4 linked regions of the Arabidopsis thaliana genome follow. The main gene of each other region encodes a partner of the protein of the gene in region 2 in a complex. Each region holds a gene or a part of one and is shown on either strand. Other genes may lie near its edges. The genes, in order: KIN11, AT1G69800, AKINBETA1 and AT2G28060.

Region 1 (5,938 bases), on a different chromosome or scaffold from region 2:
GAAGACATTTTTCAGTTTGCAAAGAGCTAGGACATTATTCCAGAAAGGAAACATTCAATTGCATTGAGTGTGACTACTTTTCTTTGTGTTTCAAATGTGCTACATTACCTCATAAGGTAATGTATAAGCATGATAAACATATGTTCACTCTTTCTTATGGGGATGAGATAAGTACAACGATGTATTGGTGTGAAGTTTGCGGTCCGAACCGACTGATGATGAAAAATCAGCAAAATAAATCCGAAGGAGCGGTTTTATGTGTGATGAGTACTGTAGTGTTACCCTACACATTCAATGTATGTTTGGGGTGGACTTATCCTTGAAGCCCGATATATTATTGTCCGACGGCGACCTATTTACTCCTTTTGCAAGAAGCATTGTCCACACAAAGTAGCTCTCCAATGTTCTGTATTAATATCGTGTTCCACATCTTGTATTGATGCTAAGGACTTAAGTTGGGTAGCCGAATTTTGTGAAATGGAATTTTGATGGACTCTGCGTGCAATGTTTTTAGGTATGACATGTATAATGTGTCTGATATAAACGTTGTATAAAATTGGCATCAGAGGAGAAATACAATAGTTAGAATGAAACAGCTAAGTTATGTACACATGATCAAACCTTAAAAACCATCAAAAAGAAGAAAGGATAGTTACTATTACAGTAGAGTTTAACTTAGAATCCAGGTATATAAAAGTAACCCGGCAAAGTAAACACTGCACCCACATATTATATTATGTTCTCTACTATTACAAACCATTGAACATGAAAGAAAAAAAATGTCTCAACAAATGGTTAAAACATTCAGATCACACGAAGCTCTGTAAGAAAGGCGGCGCATAGATCCAAGAAGAGAAACTGCGGACCGTTAACTCTCTGTATATCCAGCAAGTACTTCTCTTCCCGGGCTTTGTATAGCTGTTTCAAAATCAAAAGTGAACTCAGAAAGTGTATAATTGTTCTTCGAAAACAGTTGGTTCAAGTTCTAAAGAAGGTTTTAGTCTATGTCCTAGCTGGTTTAGTTTTGTTGAACTACTACTAGTGGGATAAAACAACATCAGGATCTTAGTCTTTGCTCCAGCACAATTCTACGAATGTAAACCCCGTTGATCGATTCATATCCCTAACAAACCGAACTAGGCAGTTGTTTATTTTCTCCAAGGAATGTTGTTGATACAAATGTATGTGTGAGTTTATAGTTACCTGAAGTTCAAATTTGATGACAGTGGGTGAAGTCATGGCACAGTCATCCTCAATGATGCTGGATTCATCTCTGAAGTGCAGCTGATTGTTGACCATAGTATTCTGACCATCAGCTAAACCAGGAACCCATCGACATTTCATGTTGTAGTGACCAATCTTCTTCCAACACACATTGAGTTCTTGAAGAGCTTTCAAAACTTCATTCATGATTTCACGAGGATGCGCATGAGACTGTTCAAAACAACAAGGTAACAGAATGATTATCGATTTGGCTATGTAGAGGCAAAGAGTACAGATATCTGATTGTGTGTTGCATTCAGAAGACTTTATGGTGAGGAACAAAAAGAATCAGTAATCAGGAACAAACCTGAAGTCCAAGAGCCCATTTTCGATCAACAGGGACTTGTGATCTTGCTCCCAACCCGTAGTGATCCACATGTGCAGGAATCCAGTGGCCTACAGGTGAAGCGCCCGCTTCAGGTGTGCGCATAGGATTGGAACCACTGTCCTAGATGAGTAACGTTGAAAAGGTGAACATGTTAGTCAAAAATGTTGGAAAGCTATCTACTGAGAGGAAAGAAAAACACATACTGTTGTCTCCTGAAACTCGGATTCTAGATAGCCACTTGGAACACGGAACCGGTTATCCAATAACAGGTAGTATGTAACAGTAGCCTGGTACAAGGAGCAAATGGCATTTCAGTGACTATTGGAAACTAGTTTCGGGGATTAAAAGCATTAGAGACAGGAAACTACATACATCGTTTTGTGTTCTGTTGCGTAGAGATTCCAAAACCTGGTTTCTATCAAATCCCATGTTAACCACTTCTTGAACTATCTCCTCATTGATCTGCAAAACATAAGAGATATTGTTACTATCACAGCAAGTGAACTCTATTAATCTCCAAATGGCACTGAAACCAACCTTTTTAGCCTGCTCTACTGTATCCGGTGGAGAGACAGCAAGATAACGAGGGAGATGAGTCTGGAACCAACGGTGTTGACGGATCTCAGGAATGGTGATTCGTTTCACCGGGTCAACTATAAGCATCCTTGGGATCAGGTCTCTAGCCTCAGATGATAAATGACTTGGAAGAGTGTAAATCCCACCCTAAAGAGAAAAAAAACACCTTGATAAGTTACTTCACATACATATGAATCCATTTAAGAAGAGTCTTTTAGCTGAATCAAAGTATAACGTACAGTACCTTAATTTTCTTGAAAAGGTTGGGAATGTTTTCATCATCAAAAGGAAGAGTACCGCATAATAGAGCGTACAATATAACTCCGCAACTCCATACATCTACTTCAGGTCCAGCATATAATTTACCTGATATAACCTACAACAAGAAGTAAGAGATAAGACACTCATAAGAGAAACGAGACATAGTCACATAGGTGAAAAACAATTCAGTAACTTTACTAAACTATATACCTCGGGAGCAGCGTAGTTGGGGCTTCCACAACTCGTCTTTAGAAAATGACCATCCCGCATAACATTACTCAACCCAAAGTCTGCAATCTTAATATTACACCTCGAATCCAATAGTAAATTCTCAGGCTTCAGGTCTCTATGGACAACCATATTACGATGGCAGTACTCTACACCAGATATTATCTATTCGGATATGAGTCAAACACAAACAACACTCAAACTCAAAGATGACATGATACGCTACAAACACACTGGTTATGGTAAAGAGAAAACAAACCTGCTGGAAAAAGTTACGAGCCTCATCTTCTTGTAATCTGCCTTTCTCAACAATATAATCAAAGAGCTCTCCAGACTTGACATACTCCATCACAACATAAATGTCACTCGTGGTCTCTATTACCTCATACTGCCGAATAATATGAGGATGCATAAACAACCGTAGAATCTTAATCTCCCTCCTCACTGTAAAGAAGAAATATACATACATTAAGATAAAAATACATACTAAAACCTAATAAGCAGAAACATTTGATTATCAAAGCTTTTGTTCTAGAAACCACTAAAGCTAAAAGTAACGGTGCTTGTATATACCTTTCTCTTCCATCTCCATGTTCTTGATCTTACGACGATTAAGGATTTTGATAGCAACCTTATGCCCTGTGACAACATGCTCTGCTATTTTCACCTTCCCAAAAGACCCAATTCCAAGAGTTTTACCAAGCTTGTAATTCGGTAAAATCGATTCCACTCCATTATTGCCAAATCTATTTGATGAATGATCCATTTCCTGTGTCCCAATTCAACATCAAACTCATAAGTAAGCTCTCTTAGCAACTTCTCTATAGAAAAACATCAGTAAACATATTAACTTGCTCAAATAAAAAAAAACATTCTTCAACTCAATTTTCATTTCATCAAATCTAATCTAAACCAACCATAAGCTTGTAAGAAAACTGACAAGAACCACCGACATAACTACTTTGTAATGGTGGTTTTGGTCTGAAACCAAACAAGAGACTCACAAGTTTGAGTTTAGAAGACAAAATTGATAAACCTTTACAAAGAAAAAAAAGTCAATTTACCTGAAAAGCTTGTTAATTTCGAAAACCGTCTTGGAGTAGATCCGAGAATCAAAAACCCAGATAAATTGTTCAAACAAAGAGCGAAGAAATATACAGAAACAAGGAGAATCAGATTGATGGGTATAAATAGGGCAGAATTGTAAATTACGATGTAATCTGAAGAAATTCTTGGGGAAGTCAGATTTCCAACTCGTAGGTGACGCAGAGCTGAGTCAGGTTTTTTTAAGTCTTCATGGTGAAAATTGGTAATGACGAATCAAGAAACCACAAAACCCAGATAAACATTTATTGCCATTTGCAAGCCCTTAAATTAGGGCCTTTTTGCCCATTTTCTGTTTTTGTTTGAAAAACTAGTTTTTTAAGGTTTAAAATTTTTATATTACTGTTTTTATGATCTATATATACATTTTTGCAGCCACTTTGTGAAATAAATCCTAGAGTTGGAGTTTATTTACAGTGGCTGCCACTCGCATTTAATAATTGTTTTTGATAATTAGAAAGAAAATCTTTAAATTAAATATTTGACAATCTTCCCAAAATCTTTCCACATTAACTACACGATTAGTTACTAAAATAAAACTTCCGAAATATTTAATATCATTTAATTACTACAAAATTATCATTTTTGATATTGTTTTTCTACATGACTATAATAATTCGATTATAATCATCAAACCGCAGAGATATTAGATAGCATTTAATTACTACAAAATTAAAAAATATTTAGACAATGATTCATAAACATATCATAAATAAAATCAGTGAATTTTTTTTACGGGACGGATTGGCGGGACGGGTTTGACAGGACGTTACTTAATAACAATCGTAAACTATAAAATAAAAATATTTTATAGATAAATATAATTTGCAAATTTTTATATATAGTAACTTTAAAAAATAAATTGTCTCCGCGGTATACCGCGGGTTAAAATCTAGTTTTCTATATATAAAAGCGTGCTAATGATAAAGCGGATAAATTAAGAAGTTTCAGACGCATTTTATTATATAAAGTAGAGTTTTTAAAGTTAATAACTCAACTGATCGTGACACGTAACAAGTCAATCGTTCATATGTTGATATTGTGTCGGATTTTTTTTTACTTTTTTCCTAAAAGAAATAGGCAATTTAACAAAAACAAATATTTACATATACTAATTTATATGTCTATATCTAAAAAAAATAAGTTATAGTTTACTTAACTAAGAAGGGAAACTAACAATAAGATGGAGTGTATAGAATTAAATTGTATTTGTATTGCAAAATCGAATTGTATTTGAAATGTATACAATCAAATTTAATTGTATTTGTATTATAATAAAATAGATATTTAAATTGTATTGCATAATCGAGATTTTTTAAATATTTTTTCTAAAAGAAATAGGAAATTTAACCAATAAAAATACATACACCAATTTATATTTCTATATCTAAAAAATTTAACTTAAAATTTTCTTAACTAAGAAGGAAAACTAACACAATAAGATGGAGTGTATAGAATAAAATTATATTTGTATTGCAAAATCAAATTGTATATGAATTGTATGGAATCGAATTAAATTGTATTTTTATATAATAAAATAGATATTTAAATTGTATTGCAAAATCGAGATTTTTTAAATATTTTTTCTAAAAGAAATAGGAAATTTAACAAAAACAAATACATATACCAATTTATATTTCTATATCGAAAAATTTAACTTAAAATTTTCTTAACTAAGAAGGAAAACTAACACAATAAGATGGAGTGTATAGAATAAAATTGTATTTGTATTGCAAAATCAAATTGTATATGAATTGTATGGAATCGAATTAAATTGTATTTTTATATAATAAAATAGATATTTAAATTGTATTGCAAAATTGAATATGTAAGATTGAAATTTGGTTTAAGGAAATACTAAATTAAATACTGAAAAGTATATGAATTATTATTTAAAATTTAAATATCATCAATAAGATGGATGTAGTCTATAGAATTAAAACAGTTTATTAAGATAAAATAGATAGTTCAAATGTAGAATAATTGCTGAGAATGCCCTTTTCACACTACCTTTTTCAGTTATACCCTTTCATATTTGACATTTTCATTTCTACTTTCAGTAAATTTTTAATGACTATTTTACCCTTATTTGGAAATTGTTTTTTGCCTAAAATATTCCAAATAAATTTCCTGCCAATAAAATACCATAGTTTTTGTTTTTGAGCATTTTTTTTAATA
Region 2 (4,327 bases):
TTTCCCGCATGTTTTGCCATTCAATGAAGAATATAGAATCTATGGTCCCTCCTTTAAAAACAATTCCATTGGCAAGTATCTATAGACTATAAATATGCAGTTTGGGTTGTCGCTAAGGTCAGTTGAGTAAGAGAAGAAGCATTTGCAAAAGAGACATAACATGTAAAGTCAAATGTCCCCTTGAGTTCCCTTAAACGCTTCATTGTTCATACTTTGTTATCATCTATCGATCGATCAATCAATCTGATGAACACTGAAGTGTTTGGGGGGACTCTAGGTGACATCTTGGCACCCACAGGCTATATTAATTATCGAGCGGTGTAGTCAACGGTTGAGGTGAGTTATGAGCCTTTTCATGAAGAAGATAAGTAATGTGGTTGGTTATTGATCTATCATTCATGAGTGAGTCATTTCATTTGTTAGTTATACAATTTGTTTCAAGCTGATTAAACTCTTAGTTTGGCTTCCCTGTAAGTTGAACTTAATCAGCTGCATTGAATTGGCGAGACTTACACAAACACAAATATGAAATTGAACAATCCATAAAACAGAAAATTTTTTATCCAATCATTACAGTACATATATATTTTCAATCCTAAGATGTCGTTAATGATAGAACTTTAAAACTCAAAATGGTTGGTTACAAATTAGATATAAAGACAACAACTTCAGAAATCTAAACCAAGAAAGAACAAACAACAAAGCCAAAAAAAAGCTGAGAAACAAGAGATCATCGGTTAAGCATTTCCTTAACCGAGAAACCGAGACAGTTCTCAAAGTAATTTGGAGGTTCTGATACGAAACAAGAGATCACATCCCTCAGTGTTATAACCCCATAAAGCTCATTCTCATCTCCAGCCGCTACATAAACCCGATGCACCGACCTCGAAGCCAAACTGTTTATAACACTCCCTAAAGTCGAATCAGGCCTACAAGTTATTGCAGGAATCGCTAAACCGTATTCCTCTCCCGCTGTAGCAATCTTTGTCGCGAAACTCTTCACCGTGAGTTGTCTTTATCATCAACAAAGAGATCATTCAGTCATCATTGTTACCAGAGAAGTTGTAATGAGAAACAAGTGAGTAAAAATAAACCTGAAATTGGAAAAGACTTCAGGTTGTAAAAGCAAATATCTAATGTCTCTCATGCTAATGTTACCAACAATCTTCTTATTCAACCCTTCAACTACAGGGAGACCACCAATGTTGTTGTCTCTCATCCTTTTAAATGCTTCAAGGATAAGTTCCTCACTCTCAATGCTAATAACCTGAAACCAACATGTTCAATTTCACCGGTTTACGAGCCTAATGTCATGACTTCTTAAAGTTTATTTTATTACCTCATTGGGTGACATAAACGGGAGGCCGAGATCAGAAATCGGGAGAGCGGAAATGTGATCAAACCAATCTCTACCTTTGCAACCTTCAAGACCATGAACAACTGCAGATTGAGTAACGTAGTTCTTGATATCCGGTTCTCCTGTTTTAATAACCGGCACATTTCTTAACCGATATTTCGAGAGTAACAACATAACACTCAACATCGAACTCTCTGTTGAAACCGGAAGAAAAGGAGCCCATCTAAACGACTTAAGTATTGTTCTAACCTGACAACATAAACATATATCCATGATCAATCAGGACCATCACAACACAAATAACTTAATGTTCTGTTAAAAAACTTACAGTGGTTGATTTAAAAGGCTCTTCTTGAAGAATAACTTCATAGAAATCTTTCCCCAACTTATCAGCAGCAGTTGGAGCATCTTTTCCAATCCCACGTTCAGCTGCAACACCACCAGCAACCGCGGCTCCAACCGCAGCTGCGGCTAGCCCCGCAGCAGCAACCGGACCGGTCATCCCGAGCGCTGCAACACCAAGAGCTCCAACAGCTCCAGCACCAACACCAGCAGCAGTTGCTGACGTAGCGGACAACGCGATTGCAGCGAGTTCAGCACTCTCTAGCACCCATAAGATGATTGAAGAGTAGTCAATGATTCCTAAATATCTTTCTCTCCAATCTAAAGAACTCTCGTGATCTGTGTTAATCACAGGAGCTGATAGAATCTTGCTATCTGATAAGATCTTTACTGCTTCTGATACAGGTGTTTCCGCTTGAATCTCTATCACTACGATCAAACAAAACACTAATTGAATCTAAACCATTGCCAAGTCTCAAACTTTAAACGAGAAATCAGGAAATTTGGAGGAATCGAAAAAAATGGGATCTTTCTAATTTTTACCTCTGCCGCCGGGGACTTGAGGGAAGGAGGAGACTGGGATTCCGGCGAAAGCAGAGTTTAGGGTTTCTTGAAGAGATTTGGGTAGATTCTTCCTTGATTGTACTTTCTCGAAATACGCTTCACAGCTTGAAACCGCCGATTTTATCTCCTTATCTTCTACCGCTTCACTTCCCGCCATGTCTTGATACCGGCTCAATTTGAAGAATTTCAAACAAATCTACGATGATTTTAGATTGGAAACGATGAAACCCAGAAGAAAAAAAGAGAGCTTTTTTGGTTAAGGAAAAAAAAAAGAGAGAATTTAGAACAGTGGTGAGTGTGGTCGGATAAGCAACGTGTCGGAGATGGACCTTTGGTTTCGCTTTTCTGGCGGTTACGCGCGTCCTGATGAAGTGCATTGACACGTGACGTTATAATAAGTGGTCGTGTGTCAAAAGAGTTTAACAGCGTTATAACCGGAGTCGCTGACGTGGATGGGCCGAATTCTAAGATAGAAAACGGTAGTAACGGGCCTGAGCCCAAGATTGATTTAAAAGTAATATCTGATGGATCATAGTTTCATACGTTTTCTTTCTTTTGGTCATTTTGTTTTCTTTCCTTTTTAAGAATCGACCATCTAAACATTTAGGTGGCTCAAACAATTCAGACATCTTCATTTCGGTCAAATTCATCACAAATTTATATTTGATAATTGAGGGAAGTAAAATAATCAATTCTTTTATGTAAATAATTTTAATGGTGACTACAATTTTGACCATCAAATTAGTAAATGTCTGTAGCAAAAAATAATAATAATCAAATTAGTAAACAATACGTATGTGATTTCAAATAATAATACGTTGTGTTGATAATTTGTCAAATAACCCACTATTTTATGTGATGCTAACTAAAGTTTATTTTGTAAAAATCAAACAATTTTGCAAAAGTGAAAGAGGGAGATTTTGTCAATCTGCATGAAAACCACCTTCCATTTTAGATATCATTGTGTCATCATAGTCATACTTACTTAATTCACCAACAAAAAAAATTAACATTGTATTTAAAATTTTTATAAGCATAAAAAAATATTTGGTGTATCAAATTTGTGTAGACCATTAATTTACAAAACCTTCATATACATATATAATCCATGATATGATAGGTAATCCACTAATTTAAACATTTGGATATCTACAAGTATATAAGCATTTTGCATATCATGCCAAAACCAGATCTCTCTTTCAGAGGCTGAAAAACAAATGAATGACAAAGAAAACGGAAATCAGTTACTTTCTAGACTTGTGTCTAGCTATACCGATACAGTTACTGGCTTATTGCTGTCCGGAAAGTCTCGTTCGATAACGGGCCAATAATGAATCTGTACTCAACGGAGCTTGTGTTCGCAAGCCACTAAAGTTCAAGGTGTGGTCATGCGATGATGGAGGTGGAGGATCTGGAGAGGAAAAGTTGAGACTGAAAGAGGAGGACGATAGAGGGTAGTCGTCTGGTAACTGATTGGGATAGTTTGGTCGTGTGAGGTCCAATGTTACAGTCGGGTGCGAGTTAGTGGTGGAGATAGAGAAGTGGTGAAAAGGGAAGAAATAGCTTAGACTCGCTGAGGTGGAGGAGGAGGAAGAGGAGGAGCCAGATTGTAATAAGGAGGCAGCCGCGGAAGTTCCAGCTGCCATGTGGCTTGCTTCCATGGGGAGAGGATGGTCATGGTTTCCTTCGTACGTTGTCATAAAAGCGGAGGTTTCTTCTTCTCCACATCTTTGCACCTATAGACATTCGTTTTAAAAGTTTTTACTCAAAACCAATTGTTAATAAACAGATATTTGGATTGAGAAATTATAGAATGTATTATACCTGTTTTCTAACGGGACAATTTGACGACATGGAGCAACGGTAATAGGCTCGTGGGAGAGGATTGGTTTTCGCAGTCTTTTGACCATATTTCCTCCACTGGCAACCGTCGTTTATCTATATATATTCATGTAACGTGTATATGATCAAATAATTAAATTAGATGTGAAATGGTAAATAAACACATATATGTAATGTATGGTTTTGATGGTACGTACTGATGGGTCTTCACATGATGCTTTA
Region 3 (5,083 bases), on a different chromosome or scaffold from region 2:
GATTCAATTGGATCAAAAACAGAACGAGGATTGAAGGATCAGATGGAGAAGACGCAATGTGAGGAAGAGAGGTTGAAGAAGGAGGCAAGTGTGTGTGTGTGTTTTGGTGGCGACACTCTTTAAGGGAGGAATAAGCGAGGATGAAACAAACAGTGAAACGTATAACCCCAAAAACCCTAGTTACTTTCCTCTTTTTTTATATGTATATGTTTATTTTATATAGCAATTTCCTATTTTTCCTATTTGAAATTTGACAAAAAATAAGAATAATATTCATGATTTGTTTAATTACTAGTATTACAAATATCCTCTAATCTGGTCTTTATCCTTCGTAATTAAAAACATTCAATTTATTTCTTTTTAATTTTTGTTTTGAGAAAACATCATTTATGTAGGGTTTTAAAAAAATTTAAATTAACTTTATAAACTTATTTTCGTTAGACCTATTTATAACGCGTTTATTTATTAACCTTAGTTTATGTCCTTAAATAGATGTGTTAGAATTTGTGTAGCAATTCTAAGTTATTTTGTACTTTTAATGTGATCTAACAAACTTTTGTTACAACTAAGGATTAGTAGTTGGTAAAAGAGAACGAAGATAACTAGTTATCGCTCTTATAATCTCTTTATTGTTTTATTGTTTAATTCGTTTAAGTTATTTAATTATAATATTTAGTCTTTTAAAAATACGTGAAAAATTATCTGAATTGTTAATATACATATAATAATTTTTATATATATGATGGATATTAACGATGATTTCTGAGGTGAAAACTATTATCTTAATTTTTTTTTTGGGTGAGGCTATTATCTTAATTCTTCAATATGTGAACCTACGAAGAATAAAGTAATTGATGAAGATTTGAATGAATTTTTGTCTCTGAAAATGACATTTGAAGGTGTCTGTGGAAGATTTAGTGTCCACTAGATAAGATTTCTAAACAAAAGGTCAATATATTGATGAAAATTGAAGTGATTGAAATCAAGTTTTTCCAATGATAGTACACTCGTTTGAAGAAAATATGAGGTTGAATCAAAACCTTAGTTCAAAGTAAATGATAAAGCAAAAGCTGAAATCTTACAATTTGAAAGTGACCAATATACAATGCGAGAAAGCAAAAGAAAAAACAATGACTCAACCTATAAGGAAAGTGCATGACAATCACTCATGGCTTAGTGAATAGTGACCATCGCCTTTTACAAGTTTACATTGGCTTTGAAACCCTCCAAACTTTTCGAAACAATCTTTCGACCAATAACTAGTTTACGGGACTAACCAATACAAATCTTGGAAAATGATGATTCTTTGACCATCTCTATTCTAACCCCACCTATTGGAGTTTAAGGCCTTTTCATCGTCACGATACGCATACTATGATCACTGGCTCTAGCAAGATGTTAAGGCACACAAATCGGTGGCAAGGAGGTGACTGGCCCTTGTGTCATTATCCTTCTCAAAGGCATTGAACCAACTTTTTATTCACATTTGTTTATTATATACTAAAAGAAATAAACAAAAAAAAAGTGGATAATTATAAACTTTTGGACGCCAAGTCACTCGTTTATCCATTTGGTACGGATTTTAATGATATCTCTCTCTCAAGAGCCCCTTTTATGCAAAATCTCTTTTTCGCTACCAATGGCATTATTCGTAATTAACTTCTAACTTGAGGGGCGTTTCATTATCTCCTCCTCGTCGTCCTCCCTCCATTTTTCTTCACGTCTGGTTTTCTCTCTCTTTTCCTCTATCTCTCTCCTCTCTTTGTCTCTCTCGCTTCTGTGATTTGGGCTTTTTCAGATGGGAAATGCGAACGGCAAAGACGAAGACGCCGCCGCCGGTAGCGGTGGTGCAGATGTTACCTCGTCCTCGGCGAGATCTAATGGCGGCGATCCTTCTGCACGCAGTCGTCACCGTCGTCCTTCTTCAGACTCTATGAGCAGTTCTCCTCCCGGAAGTCCTGCTCGATCTCCATCTCCTTTCTTATTCGCTCCTCAGGTTCCCTCTCTCGAATATCTCTCTCTGTTTAATCGTTGAATTTGATTTCTGGTTTTGAATTGAATCGATTGAAACATTCGCCCAAAGAGATAATAGTAAGAGAATCTTTTTGATTTGTTTCGTTGAGTAAGAGAATGTTCGTTCACTTGACTTTTCATTTGTTTCACTAATTGTGAGACACTTTCTTCATTTAGATAGGATCCAAGTACAAAATCTCCAGCCTTTTTTTTATGAGTGAACTCTACTTGTTCACTTGATTTGTGTTATCCTGTTGGTTCTTGAGAATTTGTAATGTAGATTCTTGTTCTTAAAGCTTTTTTCTGAGTTGGGTTTAGAGATTCTGTACTAGAGAATCTCTTTTATTTTTGTGTTATCTTGGTTCAGGTATCTTGAAATAATGCATAATGTGGAAAAGTTTCTACCTTTCTTTAAGATGTTGTTTTGGTTTCCTAGCTATTTTTTCTTTATTTTCCAGCCGGTCTCTAGTCATTTACTGGTCGCTCATGATTCTTGATGTCCCTTAGTGAGTCTTTGTGTAATTTATCTTTGTTTCATTGTGAAGAGGGCAACTTTGCAGACTAAGTACGTTTGTGAATGAAATCTTTTGTATAAAGGAATTAGACTTGACTTGGTTTTGTTTGGTTCTTGAGAAGTCAAAAACTCTGGTAAATGACAAGGTAGCTAGTTACTCTTCCTTAGTTTTGGTGGAGAGAGAGAGAGAGGCTTAGATCACCTTATTGCTATGTCTTTTCCTTTTGGTGAGTTAAAATCTTGTTAATCATACTAGAGAATCTGCTTTAGAGAAGGTCTTATTTGTCTTCTGATTATGCCTCCATGCCTGGTGTGGAAAAGCGTATGGCAGTCAAATAGGATGATTATTGTCTCTCTAGGTTTTTATGCTGATTTTGACTTTCCTGCTGCTCTCTGGTCATTTACCAGTTACTGATACTGTTCTGTTGATTTGCATGTCGCATTGTGAGTCTTTTGTGTAATGTCTTTTGCTTTCATTTTTAAGAGGAGGGAGGGCAAGCTTGTTCTTTTCTTCGCCCTTTTTGAATTTAAACACGCAGAGCTTTTACTTGAACGAATTACAGATTTTGGATGTTTCGTCATTCTTCTCATTGTTCTTAATATGTGAATAATTCATAAGATAAGTGAAGGACAACCTTCTAAAATTGACCTTGTTATCAGGTTTTTGTGGGAATAGTGAAATATCTTTTGCTAATAAGGTCTTGTCTGTACTCTGTATGCGAGTAAATTTCTGAGTCTACTGTTGCTATATTCATTTTCGACTCCTTTTCTTTTCAGCCCACATTGTTATTCCACGTTACATCTTACAACATTTGCTCACCTATGCGTCACCTCTTCCATTGTTTAGGCTTAACATGTGTACCTAATGGCTGCATTTCGTGTCGGATGGTAGATATAATGTTTTGACATTCGCAAATTCTTCTTGCACATTGGTTTGTAAGATCTCACGGCTCAGTGTTTATGTGGATATTCTCAGGTTCCCGTGGCTCCATTGCAGAGAGCAAACGCCCCTCCTCCTAATAACATCCAATGGAACCAATCACAGAGAGTTTTTGATAATCCCCCAGAGCAAGGAATCCCTACCATCATTACATGGAACCAAGGAGGTAATGATGTGGCGGTGGAAGGATCATGGGACAATTGGAGATCAAGGTATAATTGACTTTGTTTCTCGTGGACCCTCTCTCGAGATTTCGTGATATATGTTAAAAACAATATGTTTACATTCACCAGGAAGAAGCTGCAGAAATCAGGGAAAGACCACTCGATTCTCTTTGTCCTTCCATCTGGCATATACCACTACAAGGTGATTGTGGACGGTGAATCCAAATACATCCCAGATTTACCCTTTGTAGCAGACGAAGTTGGCAATGTCTGTAACATTCTCGATGTTCATGTAAGTTACTTTCCCACCTCTTTTTTTCTCATGTTAAATCTATCAATCAGCTTAACAGTATCTGCAATCATTATGCATGCAGAACTTTGTGCCAGAAAACCCAGAAAGCATAGTGGAGTTTGAGGCGCCACCATCACCTGATCATAGCTACGGTCAAACCCTACCAGCCGCAGAAGATTACGCGAAAGAGCCACTGGCGGTGCCACCTCAGCTTCATCTAACACTTCTTGGCACTACTGAAGAGACAGCCATAGCCACAAAGCCTCAACATGTGGTGCTTAACCATGTGTTCATAGAGCAAGGATGGACTCCTCAATCCATAGTAGCTTTGGGTTTAACCCACAGGTTCGAGTCTAAGTACATAACTGTTGTCCTCTACAAACCGCTCACACGGTAACCCTAAAAATTCAGTGCCACATTGTTCTCTCTCTTTCTTTCTTTTTCATCTCTCAATTATGTGAAAACATGTTCTTTGTTCATAGTGACTAGTGAGTGCCCAACATTTGAGTTTATTAACCTCTTTCTTACCTGGTTTGTGGTGCTTGTGTACAAAGCTTCTCTCATTGTAACGATTGTTGTTTTATTTTCTGCAAAAACTGTAAAATACATTCGCTAATAATGGCTATAACAAGCTTATCTGCTAGCAACCAAACACATAAATCCTGTTTTTTTTCTTCTTCTGACAAAACGTTTGCGAAAGTGACAAATTTTTGAAAATAATCTTTCTTTTTGGTATTGGAAAAGGCTAACCAGTTTGAAAGTGTACTCATAATAAATCCACGTCGTCTATTTGATTGAAAATTTTAATTTGGATAAGAAAAAGATAAAAGAGAAATAAGGTGAGAAAAAGTGAGCCACACGATGGAGTATGGCGGAAGAAGCATCGACCGAGTAATTGAGACGCTCTGTTTCCAATTACTACTCTCTCGAGCTCCTCCGCTCTGCATTGTCGCCGAGAGTTCCTTTCTTGTCCGACAAACTACTTCTTCTCCTTCGATAAGCCAATTCTGCGCCATAGATTTTTGAAATCTACTGCCGGAAAGGCTGCATGCGATTTCAACTCCCTTTTCCCGGGACAATTCGCAGGTGTGTATTCCTGAAGCTCCGTTGTACTATACTACTATTCCATGTTTCACTTCGAACGAAGAATCAATCATTCG
Region 4 (4,746 bases), on a different chromosome or scaffold from region 2:
AATGACAATATGAACTCTTGTGTTGAACATTGGGTTTTAGTTTGAAGTAATTATTTTTGTTTTTTTGAGAGAGTTTGGAATGATAATGTGAGGGATATATAAGTGGGAGGAGATATACACTGGTTTAGGGTTAAAGTTCATAAATGGGCTCGTGAGTGATGGCTGGAAACATAAGAGAGAAGAGTAAGTAGGAGAGGACAGAGGCAAAATGGCTGGAAAATGGTATTAATCAAAATACGATTTTATATGTGTGATAGAGATACAAAAAAGTGTTGATGGGGTCGGGAAGATCAGAAAGAGGTAGGAAAGTCCGTGAGTTTCAGAAATTACAATCAAAGATCAAACATTTGTCTTTGCATTTATGAATTATGACACACTCACACGCAATTTTCTATATTTTCAAACTATTGTTTCTCTTGTTTTAAAATGGTTTGGAGATTGGACATGGATTTTTAAATATATATATTATTATGTACACGGTTGCATGGGTTTTCGGGACTATTGGATTTTGCTTTCTTTTGGATAACAAAAACACGATAAATATTTCATTAAACCATACAAATCTTCGATTGATAAATACATATACGAAAACATACCTAAGGAAAAGGAATCCATTGTTGTAGGATTTAGGTACCATGCGGTTTTCCAAACCATAGAGTAATCTCATATGTATTGAAATTTAAAAAAAAAAAAATACAAAGAAGAACTAAAAAACAGAAAAAAAAAACTAAGAAAATAGGGAAATTAAGTTGGAGTCTCTTTAATTTGTTTTTTTTTTGTCATCTAGAGTTATTTTAATGTTACCATGATGAAATACTTGATAAAATACAACATTAAACCGAAAGAAAACGAGATTTTTTCGAAGTTTAAGCCCTAAGTAAAAAAGTCATAAATAATACTACAAAGCAAGAGGAAAAAAGCAATAGTAGTTGAAATCCCACCAAAACTATAAGTCGCATAGTTCTTGAAGATTATTTGAAAGAAAAGTATCGCGGATGCCCACCACCAACCAACGATACACAAGTCCTCCTATTGAGATGAACAACAACCTTCAGATTTCAGAATTTTTAAGCTTTATAACCTGATAACCACTGCCCAAACTTTCTTTCGTATGTGGTGATGTCATAAATCGACAAGAAACAATAAACATTAAGATTATGTGCCTTCATTGGATCATGGACTGAAAATTAAGCTCTTCGATCAACTAAAACAAATTTATCATCATTGTTTTCATACTCGCTGCTAAGTTTGCAGGGGAGTATTAGAGTCCACAACTAAAACAAGTCCAAACCCAATGTGAGGTCTACATAAGTAGAATTTTAACAAGTTAGAAGATTCATATAAACAATTATGTAATGAGAACTATGATTGTAACTTTGAGAGAACTCTCTTCCTTCATCTTATGAAATATCAAATCTAGAAACATTGGCTTTTGGTGACAAACCTTAAGCTCCTTTACATTTTTCTCTTCTTTACATTTCAATAAAGCTCACTAGAACTATTGCATTTCTATCTTTATATAATAAGCTCAATGAACATCAATCTATATTTGTCTTAAAAATGTCAAATAAATAGAAGTTTCATGAAAGGACCAGACCTCGATCAAGTCTGAGAAGCATAGACAAGGAGTGAAGATTTAGTCTCGATAACACCATTCTTAAGAGACGAAAAAAGGTAAAAGATCGAATCGCATAGAATCAAAGAAATCTTCACATATTCAGAGGAAAAACAGCATGTCTAGCGAACACTAGAGTCGAACAAAAGCAAACCACCAATCACACATCCTTATTTGTCAATTATTTATTTTGGAAACTAAAAAGAAAGTTAATGAGTAAAATAGTTTCCATAAGAAGAAAAAAAATGTTTTCTGAGGAAAGAAAATGTTTTCGAAGGACAGCAAAGTTTAAGCCAATAAGCAAAACAAAAGCTGATGCTTGTCGCGACTGTGTTCGTCAAGAATCTCCAGGACGAACCCAATCTTCTCTCTCGAAGCTGTCTAAAATTAATCAATCAATCATTGAGCTAATCATATTCTAGGTTAAGTAAAAACAGAGTAAACCCTCTCTTTTTTTCTCTTTCTCTGCCTTTCTCAATTTCGTTTCGTCTCCTTCGTTCTTCCAATTTCCGTCTGATTTTATACGAAATTTGCATTGATATCGAAGTAAAATCGAATACCCATGATTCAAAATTTCATTTTTTATGCGACTGATTCCTCAATTTTGATTTTCCGGTGATTTCTAGGGTTTTCTATTAGGTGGGTGTTATTTATCATTTGATGGGTCATTTACTGATGATTTTGCAGGTTTTTGTTTTAAGGATTTGTGTAGACTTTCATTGCTGCTACGTTTTTGAAAGGGTAATTTGAAGGGCTTAGCTTCCCAAAGGTGAGAATTTTAACTCCAGTTTGGCTTCTGATATTGTGTTCATTGTTATGTATTTTTAAGCTTAGTAGTTGTGTTTTAAAGTTGTTCCAGTTTGGTTGATAAGTGTGTATGTGTGTTCATCAGATTGGGTGAGTACAGTTCTTTCATTGATATCTCCAGTTGATTTGTGGGAATTTTGTTCTGTGTGTATAGGATTTAGACCTCAAATATTGGATTCTCTTTAAGCATTTAAGTGCCTGGTTTCTTCATCATCACTTGATAGGAGGACTTTACAAATTTTATTCTGAACATGGAATTTGGTTAGCCGAATAACTTCGTGGGGATTAGTTTCTCGTGCAAGGAAATTCTTCATGGTTCTGTCTTGGAAGTGTTTGGAATCTTGAAGCTTGATAGATTTTCGATGTAGGCATGATGCGGTTTTCTTATAGGTTTAAAGGGTCTTTAGCTGAGATATGGTTCCTATGGTGTGTAATAGGTTTAAAGGGTCTTTAGATGAGATAAAACTGTGCAAAGAGTTCATATAATAAATGGTTAAATCCTATATATTATCTGTTCAGTGTACATAGAGAAGAATTAGCTGTGGAATTTGGATGTACATGATAATAACAATGTAGTTTATGTCTTCCAACTTGTCTCTGTTGTGATAATGATCAATGTGTTTCTATTCTAACTCCTGTGGTCCATTGATTTTTGAATCCTTTGTCCACCTTAGTACTTTCTTCGAAGAAGGCATGGGAAAATATGATTCTCTGGTCCAACTTTCTTAAGACTGTCTGCATCTTTGGATCCTTAGATTTGTCTACGGGATTATGAATTATTTGACTTTTGATACCGATTAGACAAAAGTCTTACATTTCACACAAATAAGAGTTTGCATCATTGTAGAGAACAACATTGTTTTCATTTCTGCTTCAGTGTTTTTGAGTTGAAATGTAAACACCTCTTTCTCTTAGATTAGTTTGAATGGCACTTGAGCTGGTGTGACCTACATTCATTTTGATTGTTTACTTTGCATGCTATTGCGGTTTAGTTATGATTATATTTTGTTTCAGGCACTAGGTGGCAATCTTATCCAAGATGAACAGTCAAAATCCTGATGATCATGTAAGCCAGCTAAAACACCTTTTTGCCTTCAACCAACTAATCGAGTAATTTCCAGTCTCCCGCTCGATTTTTCAATCTTTTATCGTTTTCTTAAACATAGGAGGACACAACGGTTGTGGGATTTGAAGTACCTGTATCACCGGTTTCAAGTTACAACAATGTGTATTCCTCAACCGAAGATGAGACAAGAGATCCTCCAGCAGTACCGCCACACCTTCAACACTCTCTATTAGGCAATCAGGGTAGCATGGAACTGGCTTATGCGCCACAGAATGTTGTCCTGAACCACCTCTATATCGAGAACCGAGACGCCCCAAGATCTGTTGTAGCACTCGGTTTCTCGCATCGGTTCAGGACTAAGTTTGTCACTGTGGTGATATACAAGCCTGTCCAAAGAAGAGGGAGCGCCAATGTTTGAATAATGATACCTCTTTTTAAGTAGTGTTGGGAATTTGCTTCTTTATGGATTGAATTTGGTATACAAAACCATCTGGTCCGTACTGAATTTTATTCTTCTCTTACAGATTCGATTTAGACGGTTTCTAGGTACATTCGATTGAAATCATCTTCTTGTTCGGAGTTTATATAAAATCTCCATGCATTTTTATTTTTTAGGCCCAAAAAAGCTGATAGACGTGGGCATTGTTTGTTTGTAATAACTCCCTTAGATTGGGTTTAGTTAAACGAGCCCAAATATCGCTAATGAAGTTCTTTACTTGCTCATATGTAGTGTTACCATAAATTATTTAAATCTTTCGTAGCTCCAAAAAGGAAAAAAAAAAAAAAAAATCTTAATCAAAACTTTCTATGTCCGAGATAAGTTACCAAACTAATGCTCTAAAACTGGATTGGATCGTCGGATCAATGCATTAGTCTAAAACTGGATTGGATCGTCGGATCATTGCATTAGTTCGGTTTGAATGTAGATCACTTATACTCTCGTTGTTTTTAATTAAGTGTAGTTTTAAGGTTTTTTATTTTTTTTTAATATAAGTGTTGTTTTCACTTTTCTATGCAAACATTAAATGTATTTAATAATTTTTAATTAATTATATTTTTTTACTGGTTGGATTAGTTGTAATTAATGATGTTTTTATAGGAAAAAGATAAATTAAATAAAATTTGTATGTTTTCTTAATTTGTGTGCAAAAACTTTAAACTACAAATATTCAGTAACAGAGGGAGTATATAAAAACAAAGTTGGTTTGTGCATGGGAGCTTATTTGCACAAAATTGATTAAAAAATGGGTTCTGGATA

Evidence for each region.
Region 1: AT1G69800 (region 2) and KIN11 share a complex: the UniProt entries of both Arabidopsis thaliana proteins name them as parts of the probable heterotrimeric complex.
Region 3: AT1G69800 (region 2) and AKINBETA1 share a complex: the UniProt entries of both Arabidopsis thaliana proteins name them as parts of the probable heterotrimeric complex.
Region 4: AT1G69800 (region 2) and AT2G28060 share a complex: the UniProt entries of both Arabidopsis thaliana proteins name them as parts of the probable heterotrimeric complex.

Annotation. Positions count from the first base shown.
Region 1 is NC_003074.8:11,128,089-11,134,026, forward strand, and holds KIN11 (SNF1 kinase homolog 11), read right to left. Parts: upstream 4,018-5,938; 5' UTR 3,869-4,017; exon of another isoform or gene 3,721-3,868; intron 3,426-3,720; 5' UTR 3,423-3,425; coding exon 3,230-3,422; intron 3,101-3,229; coding exon 2,916-3,100; intron 2,822-2,915; coding exon 2,639-2,821; intron 2,544-2,638; coding exon 2,412-2,543; intron 2,315-2,411; coding exon 2,129-2,314; intron 2,054-2,128; coding exon 1,964-2,053; intron 1,879-1,963; coding exon 1,795-1,878; intron 1,712-1,794; coding exon 1,571-1,711; intron 1,435-1,570; coding exon 1,204-1,434; intron 919-1,203; coding exon 805-918; 3' UTR 532-804; downstream 1-531. UniProt on the Arabidopsis thaliana protein: Catalytic subunit of the probable trimeric SNF1-related protein kinase (SnRK) complex, a central regulator of cellular energy homeostasis, which, in response to seemingly unrelated darkness, sugar and stress conditions, activates energy-producing pathways and inhibits energy-consuming processes.
Region 2 is NC_003070.9:26,273,686-26,278,012, forward strand, and holds AT1G69800 (Cystathionine beta-synthase (CBS) protein), read right to left. Parts: upstream 2,645-4,327; 5' UTR 2,641-2,644; coding exon 2,593-2,640; exon of another isoform or gene 2,460-2,592; coding exon 2,243-2,459; intron 2,129-2,242; coding exon 1,686-2,128; intron 1,607-1,685; coding exon 1,340-1,606; intron 1,268-1,339; coding exon 1,095-1,267; coding exon of another isoform or gene 1,034-1,094; exon of another isoform or gene 1,014-1,033; coding exon 731-1,013; 3' UTR 545-730; downstream 1-544. Other genes in the region: WRKY36 (WRKY DNA-binding protein 36), read right to left, coding at 3,553-3,999, 4,088-4,201, 4,303-4,327. UniProt on the Arabidopsis thaliana protein: Regulatory subunit of the probable trimeric SNF1-related protein kinase (SnRK) complex, which may play a role in a signal transduction cascade regulating gene expression and carbohydrate metabolism in higher plants.
Region 3 is NC_003076.8:7,203,920-7,209,002, forward strand, and holds AKINBETA1 (5'-AMP-activated protein kinase beta-2 subunit protein), read left to right. Parts: upstream 1-1,747; 5' UTR 1,748-1,798; coding exon 1,799-1,996; intron 1,997-3,246; exon of another isoform or gene 3,247-3,304; coding exon 3,305-3,415; intron 3,416-3,503; coding exon 3,504-3,679; intron 3,680-3,760; coding exon 3,761-3,923; intron 3,924-4,005; coding exon 4,006-4,320; 3' UTR 4,321-4,577; downstream 4,578-5,083. UniProt on the Arabidopsis thaliana protein: Regulatory subunit of the probable trimeric SNF1-related protein kinase (SnRK) complex, which may play a role in a signal transduction cascade regulating gene expression and carbohydrate metabolism in higher plants.
Region 4 is NC_003071.7:11,949,334-11,954,079, reverse strand, and holds AT2G28060 (5'-AMP-activated protein kinase beta-2 subunit protein), read left to right. Parts: upstream 1-1,826; 5' UTR 1,827-2,037; exon of another isoform or gene 2,038-2,302; 5' UTR 2,303-2,384; intron 2,385-3,436; 5' UTR 3,437-3,461; coding exon 3,462-3,488; intron 3,489-3,588; coding exon 3,589-3,906; 3' UTR 3,907-4,209; downstream 4,210-4,746. UniProt on the Arabidopsis thaliana protein: Regulatory subunit of the probable trimeric SNF1-related protein kinase (SnRK) complex, which may play a role in a signal transduction cascade regulating gene expression and carbohydrate metabolism in higher plants.